4 linked regions of the Schizosaccharomyces pombe genome follow. The protein of the gene in region 3 interacts with the protein of the main gene of each other region in a biochemical or structural test. Each region holds a gene or a part of one and is shown on either strand. Other genes may lie near its edges. The genes, in order: ubc11, ubc1, uba1 and ubc4.

The links.
Region 1: of the proteins of uba1 (region 3) and ubc11, one has a biochemical effect on the other in vitro, tested with the Schizosaccharomyces pombe proteins (3 studies listed by BioGRID).
Region 2: of the proteins of uba1 (region 3) and ubc1, one has a biochemical effect on the other in vitro, tested with the Schizosaccharomyces pombe proteins (2 studies listed by BioGRID).
Region 4: of the proteins of uba1 (region 3) and ubc4, one has a biochemical effect on the other in vitro, tested with the Schizosaccharomyces pombe proteins (3 studies listed by BioGRID, with this or other methods).

The regions. Positions count from the first base shown.
Region 1 is NC_003421.2:1,057,946-1,061,645, forward strand, and holds ubc11 (ubiquitin-conjugating enzyme E2-C Ubc11), read right to left. Parts: upstream 1,844-3,700; 5' UTR 1,793-1,843; coding exon 1,698-1,792; intron 1,650-1,697; coding exon 1,622-1,649; intron 1,572-1,621; coding exon 1,482-1,571; intron 1,313-1,481; coding exon 1,077-1,312; exon of another isoform or gene 1,027-1,076; coding exon 945-1,026; 3' UTR 541-944; downstream 1-540. Other genes in the region: gid1 (putative Ran GTPase binding protein), read right to left, coding at 1-244; protein kinase Chk1, read left to right, coding at 2,075-2,142, 2,188-2,429, 2,476-2,904, 2,943-3,150, 3,197-3,386, 3,432-3,700. UniProt on the Schizosaccharomyces pombe protein: Catalyzes the covalent attachment of ubiquitin to other proteins.
Region 2 is NC_003423.3:3,002,759-3,008,603, reverse strand, and holds ubc1 (ubiquitin conjugating enzyme Ubc1), read right to left. Parts: upstream 4,205-5,845; 5' UTR 4,170-4,204; coding exon 4,127-4,169; intron 4,081-4,126; coding exon 4,024-4,080; intron 3,980-4,023; coding exon 3,932-3,979; intron 3,822-3,931; coding exon 3,790-3,821; intron 3,727-3,789; coding exon 3,723-3,726; intron 3,684-3,722; coding exon 3,214-3,683; 3' UTR 2,926-3,213; coding exon of another isoform or gene 1,417-2,925; 3' UTR 1,289-1,416; coding exon of another isoform or gene 905-1,288; 3' UTR 860-904; coding exon of another isoform or gene 851-859; 3' UTR 501-850; downstream 1-500. Other genes in the region: kinesin-6 family microtubule motor protein Klp9, read left to right, coding at 851-859, 905-1,288, 1,417-2,925; ribosome biogenesis protein Alb1, read left to right, coding at 4,767-4,880, 4,935-4,986, 5,067-5,218; ABC1 kinase family ubiquinone biosynthesis ATPase Coq8, read right to left, coding at 5,411-5,845. UniProt on the Schizosaccharomyces pombe protein: Catalyzes the covalent attachment of ubiquitin to other proteins. Functions in degradation of misfolded or regulated proteins localized in the endoplasmic reticulum (ER) lumen or membrane via the ubiquitin-proteasome system.
Region 3 is NC_003423.3:3,886,828-3,892,536, reverse strand, and holds uba1 (ubiquitin-activating enzyme E1), read right to left. Parts: upstream 3,861-5,709; 5' UTR 3,842-3,860; coding exon 3,836-3,841; intron 3,778-3,835; coding exon 3,713-3,777; intron 3,605-3,712; coding exon 637-3,604; 3' UTR 501-636; downstream 1-500. Other genes in the region: Pet117 cytochrome c oxidase assemby protein, read right to left, coding at 1-133, 187-282; exosome complex component mtr3, read left to right, coding at 4,259-4,373, 4,412-5,070.
Region 4 is NC_003423.3:713,463-716,827, forward strand, and holds ubc4 (ubiquitin-conjugating enzyme Ubc4), read left to right. Parts: upstream 1-1,822; 5' UTR 1,823-1,870; coding exon 1,871-1,990; exon of another isoform or gene 1,991-2,069; coding exon 2,070-2,147; exon of another isoform or gene 2,148-2,305; intron 2,306-2,518; coding exon 2,519-2,764; 3' UTR 2,765-2,849; downstream 2,850-3,365. Other genes in the region: 19S proteasome regulatory subunit Rpn3, read left to right, coding at 1-633. UniProt on the Schizosaccharomyces pombe protein: E2 ubiquitin-conjugating enzyme that catalyzes the covalent attachment of ubiquitin to other proteins. Mediates the selective degradation of short-lived and abnormal proteins. Mediates ubiquitination of pex5.

The sequences.
Region 1 (3,700 bases), on a different chromosome or scaffold from region 3:
TGTTATTCATCAATTCTAATGAATCTGACTTATCGTTGGGATTCCATGAAGATGGAATGGCTTTCGGCGTATTTGTTACATTGCCCTCCCTTGTCATGTCAAACTCTCGTAAATACTTCTCCCATTTCAGCCATCGTGGGTCACTTCTAAGCACATTTTCTCCGTAATTGGTTCCTTGTAAATACAAGGGGAGATTGTCGAAGTTAATCGGCTGTTTTTCAAGATTCTTTGGTGTACTAGTCATTCGCAGGTATGCTCTTGGTAGCATATAAACAGCCAGTTTTAGTAGCTTATTCAGCTATCAGTTTAAATGTTCAATTTTCTAATCAGTTTTTCTTTTGTAATTAAATACAAATCTTTTGTAATAATAATTGGTAAAACTCTTAAATTTTTAAATGACGTGTAAATTTCAGCAACTCTATAAAATGCTCTGAGACTGAAAAGATACTTCACTATACGGCTTCATAAGGATTAAAGGCTCAAAATTAGAAATACAAATATTAGGCTGTATATACAGTCCTATTACTAATCAGAAAAAAATTCAGGCACAACATAACATTGATACTTGTCTTGCGATAATACATAACACAATGACATTGAGAATCAATAATAATAAAATAGTATTATAATCTAACGGAAAGCTAAAAAAACGACTGCATTAACGGAATGCATTAAACAAGAATAGCTTTAATCGAGCATCATAATAACAACTTCAACTTCTGGAACTAAATAATGATAGACGGTCCTTAAAAAACCATTCGGTGGTTTTCAGGAGGTTGTGGCATTGCATGAAGGAATTGCTTAATCGATGAGATGAAATAATTTCAACTTCCATTATCAATGAAGAAAGTTTAACTAAAGACATTTTTTCAAGCATTGAATAGGAAAAGAAAATCCATATGACTAAACAGAAATGAAAATGAGTATGAAATAGACCGGCCTAACTAAATTTCATCGATTTCTTTATATCTCTGCATTAAAAGACGTTTGTACTCGATAGGGTCTTTACTCCACAATTCTGCAGCTCTAAGAATTGTTAATAATCAAAAAAGGTAAATGAGATATTTTCAACATACTGAGCATTCAAGGGAGAAGCATTGTTTGGCTCACCCAGCAGACTTTGTAGAGATAACAAAATTGTCTGTACGTTATAGACTGCTGACCATTTATCTTTTAAAATGTCTAAACATATGTTTCCACTCATATCGACATTGGGGTGCCACATTGGTGAAGTAAAAATGATAGTTGGAGGGGAATATGGGTAATTAGCTGGAAATGACATTGAAATTTTAAATTTCAATCCTTCATAGTACTATTTTCGTTACGTTAGTCGTATGAAAAAGAAGAAAGAAGAGTAGACAGTTATGAAAATGTAATGACAAAGATGTGTATTAATTTTCCATTAAAGTGCAGCTACAAGTAAGCACACCAAGCATTATTCATATACTTTAAATATTAAGCTTTCAAAATAAAAGTCATACCGTATCGCTTGGGCCGGTAATTGTGCCAGCCCAATGTAGCAGGTTAGAATCAGAATCTGGAAACGCACTAATTCCAGGAGTATTGGACATCTAGTCATAAAACCCTAGTTAATAACAAAGTAAAAAAGCTTATTACAAACCATTAAACTCATTAATTCGCTTCTCAATCTACAAATGCATTAGAGACTTTTTTCCTAAAAACTGTTTATTTTTTACCGTTTTGTAACGCTATGACCGTCAACAGCCATGCCAGCAGAAGAAGAGTTTTTAGAATTAGTATGAGGGTTCTGGTTTTGCATATCAGAATCCATTCCTCAAGTTGTTACTGTAGTTTCTCAATGAGTACGTGGTGGTAGGAGAGTAAGTTATAAACACAACACAACATGTGCTAATGTACACAAGTAAACGAAAACCGGATATCAAATTATAGTCCAATTTTATATCATTATATAGATTTAAAACTCATTTAAAAATTACCTTAATTTAATCTTTTCCAGTCTTTGATGATGTTAAGACTGTAAATAATACACATGCCAAAATTTGCAACATATGCTTGTGTTATATTATAATCTTCTTTCCCTTTACACCAAAGAATGGCTCAAAAATTAGATAACTTTCCTTACCATATTGGTAGAGAAATAGGTACTGGGGCTTTTGCTTCGTATGAATTTTGATTTGAAAAATACTATATACTAACTTAAGCAAGCGTCCGTTTATGTTACGATGATAATGCTAAAATATATGCTGTCAAATTTGTCAATAAAAAACATGCTACTAGTTGTATGAATGCAGGGGTATGGGCTAGAAGGATGGCTAGTGAAATACAACTTCACAAACTATGCAATGGACATAAAAATATCATTCATTTTTATAATACAGCAGAAAATCCCCAATGGAGATGGGTAGTACTTGAATTTGCTCAAGGTGGTGACTTATTTGACAAAATAGGTGGGTGCATGAACCTTTCGTTTTTACTAACGGACTTACAATTTAGAGCCTGATGTAGGTATTGATGAGGACGTCGCTCAGTTTTATTTTGCTCAACTTATGGAAGGTATTTCCTTCATGCACTCTAAAGGTGTCGCGCATCGAGACTTGAAACCTGAGAACATCCTTTTAGATTACAATGGTAACTTAAAGATTTCAGACTTCGGCTTTGCATCTTTATTTTCCTATAAAGGTAAAAGTAGGCTTTTGAATAGTCCAGTGGGTAGTCCACCATACGCTGCTCCAGAAATTACACAGCAGTATGATGGTTCAAAAGTTGATGTCTGGTCCTGCGGTATAATTCTTTTTGCTTTGTTATTAGGCAACACACCTTGGGATGAAGCAATTAGCAACACTGGTGACTACTTGCTTTATAAAAAACAATGTGAACGCCCGTCTTACCACCCATGGAACTTGTTGTCTCCAGGAGCCTATTGTAAGTCCTGACTGAAATTCCTTTAAACTAATGATCAGCGATTATCACCGGAATGCTTCGAAGTGATCCATTTAAGCGCTACTCTGTCAAACATGTTGTACAGCACCCATGGCTTACCTCAAGTACACCATTTCGAACTAAAAATGGGAATTGTGCCGATCCTGTAGCATTGGCATCAAGGCTCATGTTGAAACTTCGTATTGATTTAGATAAACCACGTCTTGCCTCATCTAGAGCATCTCAAAAGTAAGATCTTGCACAGTTGTTTCATATTTCTAACTCTTTCAATTAGCGATAGCGGTTTTTCAATGACACAGCCAGCTTTTAAAAAAAATGACCAAAAGGAGTTGGATCGTGTAGAAGTTTATGGCGCCTTATCCCAGCCAGTACAACTTAATAAAAATATTGACGTTACTGAAATCCTTGAAAAAGACCCCTCATTGAGTCAGTTTTGTGAGAATGAAGGTTTTATTAAAAGATTGGTATTATTTATTTAAACCTAAATTTTTTCTAACTATATGAAAAAGGCCAAAAAGGCTAAGAATTTCTACGAAATTTGTCCTCCTGAAAGACTCACTAGGTTTTATTCTAGGGCGTCGAGAGAAACCATTATAGATCATCTTTATGACAGTCTACGACTACTTGCAATCTCAGTGACTATGAAATATGTTCGAAATCAGACCATCCTTTATGTTAATTTACATGATAAACGGAAATGTCTCTTGCAAGGTGTTATTGAACTAACTAATTTAGGCCATAACTTAGAGCTTATAAACTTTATAAAGCGTAATGGGGA
Region 2 (5,845 bases), 880 kb from region 3:
GGATATACGAGCAAATGCTGTTACAAATGTATATACAAGCTATATAGTGTTTGCCATTATTTTTCATACCGAAATTAAAATGATACTATATTCAAAATGATTCCTTTGATATGTACCATTGCGAAAATTTTATTTTATTTTTTAATATGTATGTATACATATTTTTTTTTTGTTTTGAATAAGTAAATGCAATGTTTATGAAAATGAAAAAATCGATTTATATATTATATCGGTTGATGTGCGACTTTTAAATTTTAAAATGTTTTTACATTTTTTTCTTTATTCAGTGATAATTTATTTTTTTTTTCTTTTGTGGACATCACAGACTCCATGGATACATCAAATTGCAATCGCAGTCGTCGGCGCGCATTTCGGATTAACACTAATAAAAGTGCATGATTCTTTAAACTCGCAGAAATTCGTAAATTCGTTGTACTGTTTACAAGACAGCATATTTTGCACAAATATTCAATTCGTGCAAAATGGTGAAAACTATGTCTAAGCCGACTTCAATCGCGTTCTCAAGCTAGGTTTATTAAAAATGGGCAAGGAAAAATTCTTACTTGTTCATCTAATTATTCTTTCTTTTTATCTAATATATATTTCGTCCATCCTTAATGCTTGATTCTTTTTTTTTTCTTTCTAAATCACTAAAAATAATCTATTTAACTAGATTGAACATTACATTTCAAGATCTCTTAATTTTTTTCTCCTATAAAGAGCTCTACAGAAATCATCGCAATTGTAACGAAGTAAAACAAAGTGCTGTGAGCAACTGTCTTCCAACACTTCCATCATTCTTGTACACAAAGGATTGCTTTTAAGTCCCTTTAAACTCTGAAATTGACCAATGATACAGGTAAGCAATTTCTAATCCTTTATTTAAAATTGCTGACAATTTCAGATTTTTCTGCGTGTCAAAAAAGCACAGCCGAGTTCGGACGCTTCAAATAAATATGGATTTCTTACGGTGCTTAACGATTACGAAATTTTGCTGGAATCTCCCGAGGATTCACATGCTTACAGAGTTTCCAAATCTAAAACGTTAGAAAAGGCTTCTTTTACTAAAGTCTTTCCTCCCTCTTGCACACAGCTCGATGTCTTTTCTACTATTTGCGCTCCTTTAATAGCGGATTCCTTGGTAAACATGAACGATACCTTGTTGTTTACACTTGGTGTATCGGGAGCAGGTAAAACTTATACGCTTTTCGGTCCTTCAGATCGTCCGGGTGTTGCGTTCCTTGCATTAGACGCCTTGTTTTATGCTATCAAGGGACGAGAGGCAAGTGTAAGTACACATACCATTGACGATTTTTAAGCAAAACATGTTTCTTTCTGATGACTTTTTTTTATTTTAAATCATTGCTATTCTCGTTTTGAAATATAATATGACGAATTTAATGCTGACGATTTTAGCCCCAAACAGTCGAGTTTTTACGCTCTCAACTTGAAAAATGCAAAATTGTTGAAGCATCAAAATTTTTAAGAGGAGAAGCCCCGTTGGACATCAAGGTACCTAATACTGAATATTATGCCAGTCATTTTCCCAAAATCGAAGAGAAAAATTATCAGTATGCTATTTACTTGTCGTTTGCGGAAATCTATAATGACCGAATTTTCGATTTACTAGAGAAGGCCAGCTTTTTTGGACATCGTCATGCCTTATCGTTGAAGAAATCTTCGACATCGGATAAAAAATCAATTGCTGGAATTCAAAAAGTGTTCGTTTCAAACACCACTGAAGCTTACAAATTGATTCAAAAAGTTTTACAACTTAGAAAATCTACTTCTACAAAATCCAATTCTGTTTCTTCACGCTCACATCTAATCATGTCCATTGAGCTCTTCAAAGTTTGCACCAAAAGCAATAAATTTGAAAGTTGTCAAATAGATTTGGTGGATTTAGCCGGATCCGAGCGTACACGTTCCGCAGAAACTTCAGGTCTACTTCTTAGGGAAGGAGCAAGTATCAATCGAAGCTTATTAACTTTAGGGCAATGTTTAGAAGCCCTTCGGAGAAAGCATGAAGGAAAACAGCATATCATACCCTTTCGCCAAAGTAAACTTACAGAACTTTTGTTTCATTCTGGACATCTTTCTGGTCTGGCAGGAATTAACATGCTTGTAAATATTGATCCGTTTGGTAGCTTTGATGAAAATGCCCAAGTAATGAGGTACAGCGCCAATGCTCGTGAAATTTTACCTCCACCCCTAAATGAAAATTCAGGCTCTCAATCTCCTTCGCATTCATTATTACAGAAGTCCAAAAATACATCAAGCACAAAAGCCTTAACATCACACTTGGAACAATTGCAACAGGAAAATCAGCAATTAAGGATGCTTCTAGCTGATGCAGATTCAGAGATGATGAACTTGGAATATGAAATTCGTCAACAAATGACCCGAGAAATGGAAGAACGCGTTTCTGAGGTGGAGCGCACGTTCCTGACCAAATTGCTTGAAGAATCTGCCCAAGGTATAGAATACACTGATCAAAAGCTAGAAAAAATGGGAGGATGGATGAAAAAACTTCAAGATGAAAATTCCGAAAAAACAGAAACGATTGCGCAGTTAGAACAAATTATCGAAGAATTACATGAAGAACTTCGAAGCCTTGAAGAGGAAAGTATTAAAGAAAGTTCGGCGACACAACAAAATGAAAATCAGCATAAAAGATCATCTCGCAAACTGCTTTATGAAGATAAACAAGCTATTCAGGAAGCCCATACTATAAATACAAAACGCAAACTGTGGCCACAGTCGACATTGATCCAAGCGCCAAATAGTGATGATGAGGAAAACGTACCCAGTCCGAGTCCCAAAAAAAAAGTTGTATCTCCAATAAAACCATTAAGCCCCTCTCGACGCCCTCCGTTGACTTCTTTGTATAGTGGGACAACTGATATCGATATTAATGAATTGTAAATCCGTCGTGCATAGTGCTTATGACAACTAAACGCACTATCAATCTCTAATGACATTCCATTTATAACGTTACGTGAAATATATGATACATCTTTCGATATTTTAATAGAACAAAACAGCTATAGTACCTCCAATCAATAACGATCAAATTTAATGTGAGATTGATATCAAATAAAATGTATATCATTAAAGTTACCAAGAATGGCAAAATGTGTTCATAACTCTTATTTGAGTAATATTTAGCTCTTGCCTTCACATGTATGTAGTCTTTAAAACGAAGGCATTTCCTTAATGTAATAGCTGATCTAAAATCCCATTGATGCCGTTTGGATAGTCCTTAAGATCTTCTTGGCTCTTTATGTGTTCCCTTTGTAAAACCCGTACTATAAGCTCTGTTGAAAATCCAAATTGCTGTAGATTTGTAATAATGTTTGGATCAATTCCACCAAACTCTGTATTTTCTGCATCTAAGTCAACTCCTGCAGGTGCGGCAGCATAAGAACTTGTCCATTCGCGGGCGGTTCGGACAAATTGTTGGTAGTTTTGCAGATACACTTGAGCTACCTGAGCATCTTGAGGATTTGACGGCTCTGGAGTGCACAAAAGTGATTGTAAACTTATTAAAGCTGATTTCATTGTATAAACCGGTGACCATTGATCCTTTAATATATCTAAACAAATAGCTCCAGTTTGGGAAGAAACGTTAGGATGATAAATTTTAGTATCAAAATTCATTTTAGGGGGGCGAAATGGATAATCTTTCAAAATTAGAAAAGAACCGGATACCTATAACATACCAATCTAATTATGTTATTAGTAAAATCGTAAATAAACACTATGAAAGATAATATTAAGTAGACTTACAGGAATTTCAATATCGACGACGAAGTAGCCACCTAAAATGTTAGGACCAAATAACTAAATAATAATATGGTTTTAAACGATGCAACGGTAAATTTTTCACAAGTGATAGCTCTTAATTTGACGACCTACGTAGGATGCGTACCCTCATAAGGAGTTCCCTCAGGACCTCTAAACATTCCTTTTAAATGTGCTACAAAAAGATTAGCAATATAATAGTGTATTTAGCTGTCTTACATATATCATCGTTTATAGTCCATACTTGAATTCCTGCTTGCTTATCCTGTTGAACATCTTCTCAATTAGTACGGTTTTATTAGAGATTTTAAATTATAAATACCAGCAAGTTCTTTAGCAATTCTACGAGAACGATTGTCTGACATATTGTGTTGAGTAGTTAATATTGTGTGTTGAATACAACTTCGGGCTAAGGATGTAGCAACCGTCTTATTTTCTATACTTCATATAATGATCGATTTAATAGACTGTTGAATACGGCAAAGATCTCAAAATTTGCAGAAAACATGCATGTCTTTATTTTAATTTTTCAATTTTGTATTCATAAAACAACATTTTGATCAATAAAAAAATAAAAAATAAAAAATTGTGACATTAGTAGTGCATTTTCAAATTTGATATAGCTTTGTTATTAAGCAGCACTAAATGACGATAGATAAAGGACATCACTTTCGTGCTTTTAATATGATCATGCTGTAACTTATTGAACTTTTATTTCGTATTAATAAATTAGAAGCATCTAATAACGATGAACTTTTTGTAATTGGAATACCGAAGCACAAATATGATTATATGATGATATAATGTAAAAATAAATTACTTTAATGATATTCTTTTCTTATATTATACTATATTTTTGTATTTGAAATGAACTTGTATCTTTAAATTGATTTAAGGTGCTTTACGTGTTGCTGCAGTATACTAATACAAAAAATATACGAAAGTTGAATTCAACTTTTACAATGCCCCATAGAAACGATAGAAGAAAGTCTGCTTCAAAGGCTCCTAATGCCATTATTCATGGCCGTGTTGCGAGTAAAAAAACCATAAAGAAGCAATTAAGGAATGGAAAATATGTAAGATTAAATCACCTTTAAGCATTTTAAAGAAATACCTAACCAATAATTTAGTCGCTGAAACGTCTTGCTGAAAAGGGGATCCATTTAGATGATATTGCAATGGGTAAGAAATTTTTTTAATAGTGTGTTTTACAGGAAAGCTTCATTTCCACCGTCAATTATGTATCTAACAAACGGACATAGAGATTGATAATGCCAGCAAGAAAAACATTTCCAAAGATAAGTCTTTGAATGAAAATCTATTTGGAAAAACCGAAGCCGGGAAACAAAAGGATTTCATGAACATTGAGCCAACATGTAAAGGAACAATTTTGGGTGCTCCTCCAGCATTATAAGCTTATTTTTATTAAGCTTTATGGGTCTTTAGGGTTGATTGATAATAATATTAATACAATATGTTTTAAATATACGGTCCACACATATAGGGTTTCAACCAATGTGTTATCTATTTTGGAAAAAAAAAATTTGTATCATTGTATTAAGTCATCAAGTTGCTATGGTACTATGGCTTTTTCATATAAAAACATTTAATCAGCGTAATGTTTCAACATTCCAGAAAACAATTCCTTACATCTCACCTTGGCGCCAAGCTTGGCACACAAAAGGAAATGCCCGCTTAGTCTACGGTGTAATGAATAAGTTTCTTCTGGAGGAGGTTGAAGTCTTAAATCAAGCATAACAGGAATCTGCTGCTTAACCCTCGCAGTGATCGTTTGATCGCCAAAGTCGTAGACGTCAGGTGCATCAAATGCAAATGGCTCCGCAAGAGTGAAAATTGAATTTATATGCGCATCTATCATTTGAGCAGACTCATGATTATTTAAGTATCCTAGTTCAACAGATAATTTTTTGCACTTTTCTCGGTTACGATGAGCCGCCGCTAGTAAAAGTCGGCAATATTTCTTGATGAACTTTTCATCATATTCAATTGATGCTCCAAAATCTAGTAATTCAATTTTTTT
Region 3 (5,709 bases):
CCTTTTCGTCCTCTTCAACAGGTAGCTGGCTTTCGTAAAATTTTCGTAACTCTTGTTGTCGCTTTAGGTCTTCAAACCTTTCTTTTTTAATTCTTTTCCTTTCATCATCTTTTTGAACTCCCGCCGACATTTTCTATACTTACATTAGCTATGGTGCATATTTTCTTTAATATAAGTAAATATTACCTCTCGTTCAATAATCTGATTATTATGTACGAAATAAACCATGTAAACACTAAAGACACCGGCCCCGACGATACAAAGTTTTGAGGCAGTAGACATTGGCAATAATTCTAGTTAAATTTAATATAATGTATACGATAGACTTTTGTAGCCGAGTAAAGATATACTCTTAGGTAAATTAGGAGGTTAGCAGTCGAAACTTACGTAAATGCCAATCGCCGACGTTAAAAAAATTGCTCAAAAAAACAACAATTTTACTACATGTCAAAATACTTTTTAAAATATAACAGATCTTAGTTCATAAAAATTAGAAAGAGTATAGGAAAAATAATAAATTATTCATACATGCCTATTAATGTTTTTTAAAGACTGCTAATACTAATTTAGTAAATTTATTAGAGCCATTGGCATTAAATGTTGCAAATTCCAGGAATTAACCGGTTCTCAAAGGTATTACAACTTGATACAAATAAATGGAACTTCAACGTCTTCACCGTTGGCATCATCACAGCAAATTTCAAGCACCAAGTGTTTCCGGAAAGGTTCTAGTTTTTTCTTAGTAATTTGCTCAACCAATTCAGAAATTTTGAGAGGCAACCTTTCAGCAAGTTTCTTAGGTGGTTGGAAATTAGCATACAAAAGAGAAACTCCAGATGAAAGCATGGTCACTTCCAACCCCTCTTCTTTTTGGAAATAATCAATAAGCTCTTGAAGTGTGCAGTCCGGGAGATTGTAGCGATCCCAGATTTTGTCGATTTCTTTACCATTGACTTTCATTTTCGGAGAAGCAATAGGATCAGAAAATGTAAAGAGCCCTATAGCAAGGTTGAAAAATCCATTTTTATATTCCTCGATCTTCTTTTTGCCATCAACAAGTTTAACAAGCTCAAGACATACAAGTCCTGAAACGACAGCAGTTGATGTACACATGGCTGGTACAATTTTACCGGCAACAAACTTCGTCTTAAACCTATCCGCAGGTGTGATGTCGTAATTCATGGCACGCAAATTTGATGCAGCCGTTATAAAGTCAATGTGATGATTAGAGTCATCGTCCTTTTCAAATTCTGCCGGAGTTAGTCTAAAACCCACAAGAGAGGATGGAGGTGGTAGACTGTCAGCAATCGATTTCAGTTCTTGTTTATCTTTATTAGCAGCGGTTTCGGGAGCTTCTTCATTTTCATTGACTTGAATTTTAATACCAGACTTGGGAGCAAAGGGAGGAGGATTGTAGCCAGCAAGAACGCGTTCGTAAATAGCTGGGTCTGTCTCACTCTTAAGGCCGTAGTTGAATGCATAAAGACTGGCTGCTGCAACTATGAAGTCAAAATGCTCACGGTTGTGAATATCAAAAGATAATGGAGTAGGGGCACGCTTAGGACCAGACCAAAACGGTTGGCCAGTGGAGGTTACAGAATCCTTAGGGAAATTGAAAAGTAATTGCTGAATGTTGTTGTTAAAGAACTTATCAAACTGCAAACGGGCCCACATAATACATTCCTCAAATGAAAGAGGCTTCTCCGTAACAAGATAATCTCTAATATTTTCTAAAACTTCACGGGGGTTACTACTCGTTTTCAATGAAGTTTCCAAAAAGTTAGGAGAACTAAGGTACATATTAACGTTATCGATAGGCTGTTTAAACAAGCCTTCAAAGAGATCGCGAGCCCATGCAATGGTGTGCTCAATACGGTTAGGAAAGTTCTTCAAAGTACAGATAGGAAATGACTTTTCAGGAGGGTCTTGGGATGATCCGTACGACTCTGTAAGATGAGGTACAACAACTTGCGTATTACCCTTAGTACCCAAAGTACCAGACTCTAATAATGGCTTTTCGAAAAATACACAACGGCGGTCAACATACATTCGAGCTTCGACGTTATCCAAAGCATTCGTGACTAAAGATAACTTTTCAAAGAATTCATCGCCAAATATGCCTTCGCTTTCTGGTCCAACACGTTCTTGATATGAAGTTATTTTACCAGTCAATGAAGGATTCATGATTGAAACAGCGGTAGAAGCACATTCGGACTTCAGCTTTCCGACGTCACGAGGACGAAAGAGAAATTGACGATTCAAATTCGATTTTTCAATGGAGTCCATATCAGTAACAGAAATATGACCACTTTCACCAGTAGCGACACCCATCATAGCCCAGTTTTTCAGCATTTCACATCCAATAGCGCCAGCACCAACCAAAAACGTACTCAAAGAAGCTATTTTCTCTTGAAATTCCGAACCGAAAACAGCGATTTGCCCATCGTATCGACAGCCACGAGGTTTACAAGTTTCTTCACTGATCGTTACAGAAGATGGCAAGCTTTCTAAGGAGTCAAAATAGAAGTATTGCTTCAATGGGTAAAATTTACTGGTGGTAGCTTTCAACACTTCCTGTGCTACAGCACCGCCCAAAAACGCGGACATTGCAACCAAATCACCTCTTGCCTGGTATGAAATTTCCTTAATTAGTTTTTCATCGAGTTCAACATCAAATTGAAGTGTGCTTGCAATTTTCTTACAAAATTCGAAAAATTCAGCTGCATCAATGTCGTTACGGGGTCGAGGCAATGAACCTTCATGCGCATCGGCAAATGCTGAAAGGGCCTGGAAAGCAATGTGGTATTGTGGAGGTCTCATCATTTTACCAAAGTCAGGATATACATATTCAGGGTCCTTGAGCGATTCGCGGAGAGATTTGAAAGATATTTTGGTTGGAACTTTAACTTGGGTAAAGACACCATTGTAACCGGCACTTCCTAAATCTTTAACAGATCCGATAGAAAAGGTATATGGACCTTTCACTTCAACTTTACGAGGAGTGCCATCATTTAAACCAGGCATACCCTTCACTTCGGTAAATTTAACAAAATCACCATTCTCCAATCCATGACGAGTTTCTTCAAGCATGGTAACAACTCCATCATCAGTAATTGAAGCGATCATTCCAGTTAAAGGTTCATTTCCATCAGTGTCAGTACAAATAAAGTTCTCACCAAAATCACAAAATATCGATCCAAAAAGACCACGGCTGTCAGCAGCAATATAAGCAATATGGTTTTTGTGTGTAAAGTCGTTAATTTCTAGCTGTTTCGTAAGAGAAGTTTCTGTGACAACCACGCATTTGAAGTTTTTTAGATACTCTGTTGAAAGTTCATCAACTACAGAAACAGGCACATATTGATTAAGCTCTGCTAACTTTGATACCGTTACTTTTGCACGAGGAACACCAATATCGTCTTCTGTAAGAAAATATTGTGATGATAAGTCCTCAATGCGTGTAGGTTGAGGATCGTAAAGAGTAACGCTTTTTACACCTGCTAGACAAACGTTCTTTGCTATTTCAACGCCTAAACCTTTGCAGCCAATGATTAAGACATTCGACTGACTCATTTGTTTCATAGCCTCATGGCCTAAAACATAACTTTAGATAAATTAGCAAGCGCTCAGTACAAGAAAGAATATAAAAACATAAAGCTAAACCAAATCAACACCGGTAATAATGACTCTTCATGTTTCTAATAAAACTTACAGTTGTCTAGAGTAAAGCCCTTCATCGATAGTATTTTGATCCGTTTGATCAATGTTCATGTTATTCTTTTGCAATGTTAGTAAGAAGCGAAAAATACTTGAATCATTTAAACAAATTACATACACTCATTACGAAACGTGGTGTTGGCAGAGGAGAGTCATACGTAGGCTATAATATAGTGTTTTTATATGTTCAAATAGCGAGCTCTTTCGTTACACATGCTTAACAATTTATTACTCATTAAATTTAAGAGCGCGCACTTGAAGTATGCTGGCTGGATAAAAAAAAATTTTGCACCATTATTCTAAAAGCATTTTTATTTTCCAGCTTACTGATTGAAACGCTTAGTCATTACAAAAATCTTTTAGATGCGATAAAATTGCTTTCTATATGTCATATATACACCGAATCAAACAATATCGTTATATATATTAAGGCATGCAAACGCGTCATCCCAAAACGCGAAGCCACCACTGAAAATCCAGGCTGCTTCTGTATTGTTTTCTTAACGGTACATCAAGGTTAAAACAAATACTCTATAAATCGATGTCAGATAGAAAGAGAGTGTATGGACCGAGTGTATCCGTTCCCCCTTATTTTGAAGAGCCAGAACAACCTGTTTTCACGCGGACTCGTGATGTTGACAGATGTCGAAAAATATGTAAGATACCGATTATTAACATTTTCACTGACAATTAGATCTAAAATTAGGGTGGGCTACTAAAGCTGTCGGTAGCAGTTATTTTGAATCAGAAAAAATAAAAATTGCATGCACAGTCTCTGGTCCTCGACCTAGTAAGACTTTTGCTTTTCGTTCATCAGCAAAGTTGAATTGTGAATTTAGATTATCCCCATTTTCTACTTCTGTTCGTCAGGGACATGTACAAACCGTCGAAGAAAAAAGCTATTCCCAAATGATTGAAGCAGCAATTTCTCCAAGTATATTACTGCATTTGTATCCGAAAAGTTCTATAGACGTTTATATTCAAGTGATTGAAAGTGACGGTGCATTAGCAACATTGGCTGCTGCTATAAGTTGCGCATCAAGTGCAATAGCTGATGCTAACATCGACTGCATAGATTTGGTGACGGGCTCGAGTGTATTATTTAATCCCAATACGGATGAATATTGGATTGATCCTGATTATGTGGATGAGCGTGCAAGGGCTGCTAAAGGTTCTGTAGTTATGGGGTACATGGCTTCTCTTGGTCACGTTACTCAAGTATGGGAAAGAGGCACTTGCTCTCCGAGTCGCCTTTCGTTTTTGACGGAAAAATGCATAAAGAATGCCAAAGATACTCGGTTAGTAATTAATCATGCACTGCTACTAGAGAAGTCGAAATCCGAAGATCCTTAGATATTGGAATTCTACCTCTATAATAATATTCTGTTGATGGCTAATATTTATACCAATTTTACAAATTACATAATCAAATTTATTTCTTTTTAAAATTCTCTTCTATTAGTTGGCAATGCTCAAGTTTTGCCTTTTTTTCCTTAACACACATTTGAAGGGAGACGCTATCTTTTCTCGACAAACAAGCAGATGACTTCCCTAAGTAGATTTTCTTCTTTGAAATCAGCTTGGCCATCCGCAAGTTACGTTTGTTATGAAAAATACGAGTAAATATTAAATTAAAGATCTTAGTTTTTATCACTCGCGAATATATTCAGTAGCCAAACGATTAACTCTTTCCAATTTTTTCCAGTCTATTTATCGATTCCAATAGAACAAAACAAATGCTGAGATTTTATTAATACATATATTTGATACTAATTTATCAAGCTGCATTGAGACGAAAGCATCTTGGTAGTACTAGAATCATTGTTACTCACATACTGTTACCTGCTTCTTATAACCTCCAAATCAGCGAAATTCCGCGTCTTCATCATAGCCAAACTTATGCTCAATTGCCTCGTTTGTAAATTAAAATATATTTAACAATAAGAAGGACGATAAAGAGGGGATTCTTCTATACAATAAAATTGCTTTCAT
Region 4 (3,365 bases), 3.2 Mb from region 3:
CTGGAAGCTGTTTACAAATTGCACATCGTCGTACAATTGCTTATGGGAGAAATTCCCGAACGCCGCATTTTCCGCCAAAAATCTCTCGAAAAAACTTTAGTGCCTTACTTACGTATTAGCCAGGCAGTTCGTATTGGTGACCTTTGTGCTTTCACTGACGCGCTTTCCAAGTATGAGGCTGAATTTCGCTTCGATGGATTGTATACTTTGATATGCCGCCTTCGCCATACCGTCATTAAGACTGGATTGAGGATGATCTCCTTATCTTATTCCCGTATTTCCCTTCGTGATGTTTGTATAAAGCTTGGTTTGGACAGTGAAGAGAGTGCCGAGTACATTGTTGCTAAGGGCATCCGTGATGGAGTTATTGATGCAAGTATCGATCATAGTAATGCCTTTATGGCTAGTAACGAAGCCATGGATATTTATTCCACCGAGCAGCCTCAACAAGCTTTTCATGAACGTATTCAGTTTTGTCTTGCCCTTCATAATGACAGCATAAAAAGTATGCGATATCCCATGGATGCTCACAAAAGTGAACTCGAAGGTGTGGAAGAGGCACGTAGGCGTATGGATAAAGAAATGGCTGAGGCAGATTTAGATGACGATGAGCCTGATTTGGGCGAATTTTAAAAAACTTATGGAAAGTTTATAGATCTTAAAATATACTTTCAAAGTTGTTCAGTTGTATGTTTCTTTAATGTCTATGAAAACTATATGTAGTTTACAGATTGAAATATTTAGTGAGTTTGCGAAGCTGTAACAGAAGGAAAGTTGTTGAAAAACAGTTTTCGATCGGTGCTACAACGCTACAAATGCGTTTGTTGTTTAAACTGAGACTTGGTCTTTGCACATTGTAATAAATGAGTAATACGCTAAAAACACAGGGGTTTGGAGAATGGTCGTGTGCTTTATTTTCAAATTTGTTGTTTTATATTTCGTATATAATACACGTATGCAAACACATTTATGGTTATGCTGTGAAGCAATACAGATTTGATCTTGGATTATGGTTCCAATCAAAGGTATACTTTAGTCTTTTTAATTATAAATGGCGAAATGGGCAAAAAATTTTTGTGCAAATTTATTTTTTGTTATGCATAACTAGAGCAAATAAAGCAATGCTATAAAATGGCTTCCGGCAGAAAATAATAACCACAGTGGATATAAGCTAGTTTTCTAACGTGACTTAAGTAACACTTTATAAAACCAAAGCTATACATTAGTCTCTCCCATTACCACTTTGTCAATTTTAGCTAAGTTAGTAGATATGATCAACACTATATATTTAAAGTGGAACGGCAAGCTCATTTTTTACGTTATAGTAATTTAACAATTTTGTCGATATTTTGAGCAATGGTGTATTCTGCTGTGGTCGCTACGGCGCATATCATCAAATATCGCCTGTCCGGTTTCTCTATTCGCTAAATACGGGAAGATACTGATATAGTCTATATTGTATTTCACAAGTAAAATAGTTTCTGAGTTAGCCATCATGTCGTCAGTTAAACTGATCCTCGTTCTTCAGTTCACTTACAAGCTCTTTTATTGATAAATCGTTATAATACCGCCCCCATAATATAATATCTGTAATTCTCTTTAATTTTGCCCTATTTGTAATACAATAGTATGCTGGATCCCGAAAAAATTTATCGTAACGTAGCGTATCCTTAAAAGGATAACAAACTGTTTAGCGGGTATTTTGCAGGTACAAAGCAAGTTGCGCCATCCTGAAAAATTGCTTACTCAGACAAAGTCGAACTCGTGTGATTTAGTGCATCCATCGGTTATATGTTATTTCTACCTCCGTCCACGTTCTTCCACGAGCAAACTACTGACTTTGTAAAATCGCAAAAGCAAACCAGTAACGATGGCTTTGAAAAGAATTAACCGTGAATTAGCTGATCTTGGAAAAGACCCACCGTCTTCTTGTTCCGCCGGCCCTGTTGGCGATGATTTATTCCATTGGCAAGCTACAATCATGGGTCCTGTAAGTCGCGGCTGTAATAGTGCCTTGCGCACTGCCAAAATTTTGCTTGCTAGGATTGTGCAGCTAACATGATATATAGGCTGACAGCCCTTATGCGGGTGGTGTCTTCTTCTTGTCCATTCATTTCCCTACGGACTACCCATTCAAGCCACCAAAGGTATGTAACTATTTAGTCTTGTGTAGATTATGTAAATACGCATTGTAAGCTTGTGAATCGGAGGAGGAAGTTTGTTATATACAATATGAATTGAAGAGTTGATTGCATCTTGTTTTTCTGGAAAAATCGGTATGGTTGACAGTGATGCAAAATTTTTTAAGTGTTATGGTGAAAGAGTATACGCAGAAGTTTTTTTATAATTGTTTACTCTTACCTTTTATCTTCATTTCTTTATGTTTTACCAGCGGAACTTTATCGATTTTTATACGATTGCGTCCATCCAAGTGAAGCGAGGGCAATTACATTGCGTAGCATTACGAATCTGATTGATAGTCTTTTTTTTTTAATGATAACTAACAGCATATTCGTAGGTAAACTTTACAACCAGAATCTATCATCCCAACATCAATTCAAACGGTAGCATTTGTTTGGATATCCTTCGTGACCAATGGTCTCCAGCGTTGACTATATCAAAGGTATTACTGTCTATCTGCTCATTGTTGACAGATCCTAATCCTGATGATCCGCTTGTGCCTGAAATTGCGCACGTCTACAAAACTGACAGATCCCGTTATGAATTAAGTGCTCGTGAATGGACTAGAAAATACGCAATCTAGAGTTTGTTTCTGTGTTGATATTAAATATTCATCTCTTTTGCGAATTGTTTTCTCCAATGTATTGTATAGTTTTTTTTTTTTTTTTTTGGTTTTGGTTTTTTAAATAAATAGTAGGGGATGGCGATAATGTAGCTAGTAAAGTTGCATCGTAAAATTGAGGATACAAGCTGCCTTTAAAACAAACTGTATTATGTTCGAGGATAAAGTATGATTTGATTTAGATAATTTTTATGATTTTTTGAATAGTACAAAATTTTTCTTTGTGTTTAATAAGACCGAATGGGTCCAGTTGGATTATTCCAAGAGCGTTTGTGCATATATTTTTAAAAAGGTACGTAAACACTGCCGATTAAGTGAAATATTGTGCAAGTAAAAGTAGAATAACACGAATGGAAAGTCGTGTTACGAAGAGAGTAAACGGCTCTACGTCTTTAAGGTTTTGCTAAAAATATTTATTAAACAAAACTAAGTAATAAACAAATTCCTTGTAGCGCCTTTTTGCTGAAAAGAAAATGATAATACTTGACATGCAATACGAAGTGATACTGCTATAGACACAACTCATAATAGCCAGTCAATTCAACTCCTAGTTTTGTATTTG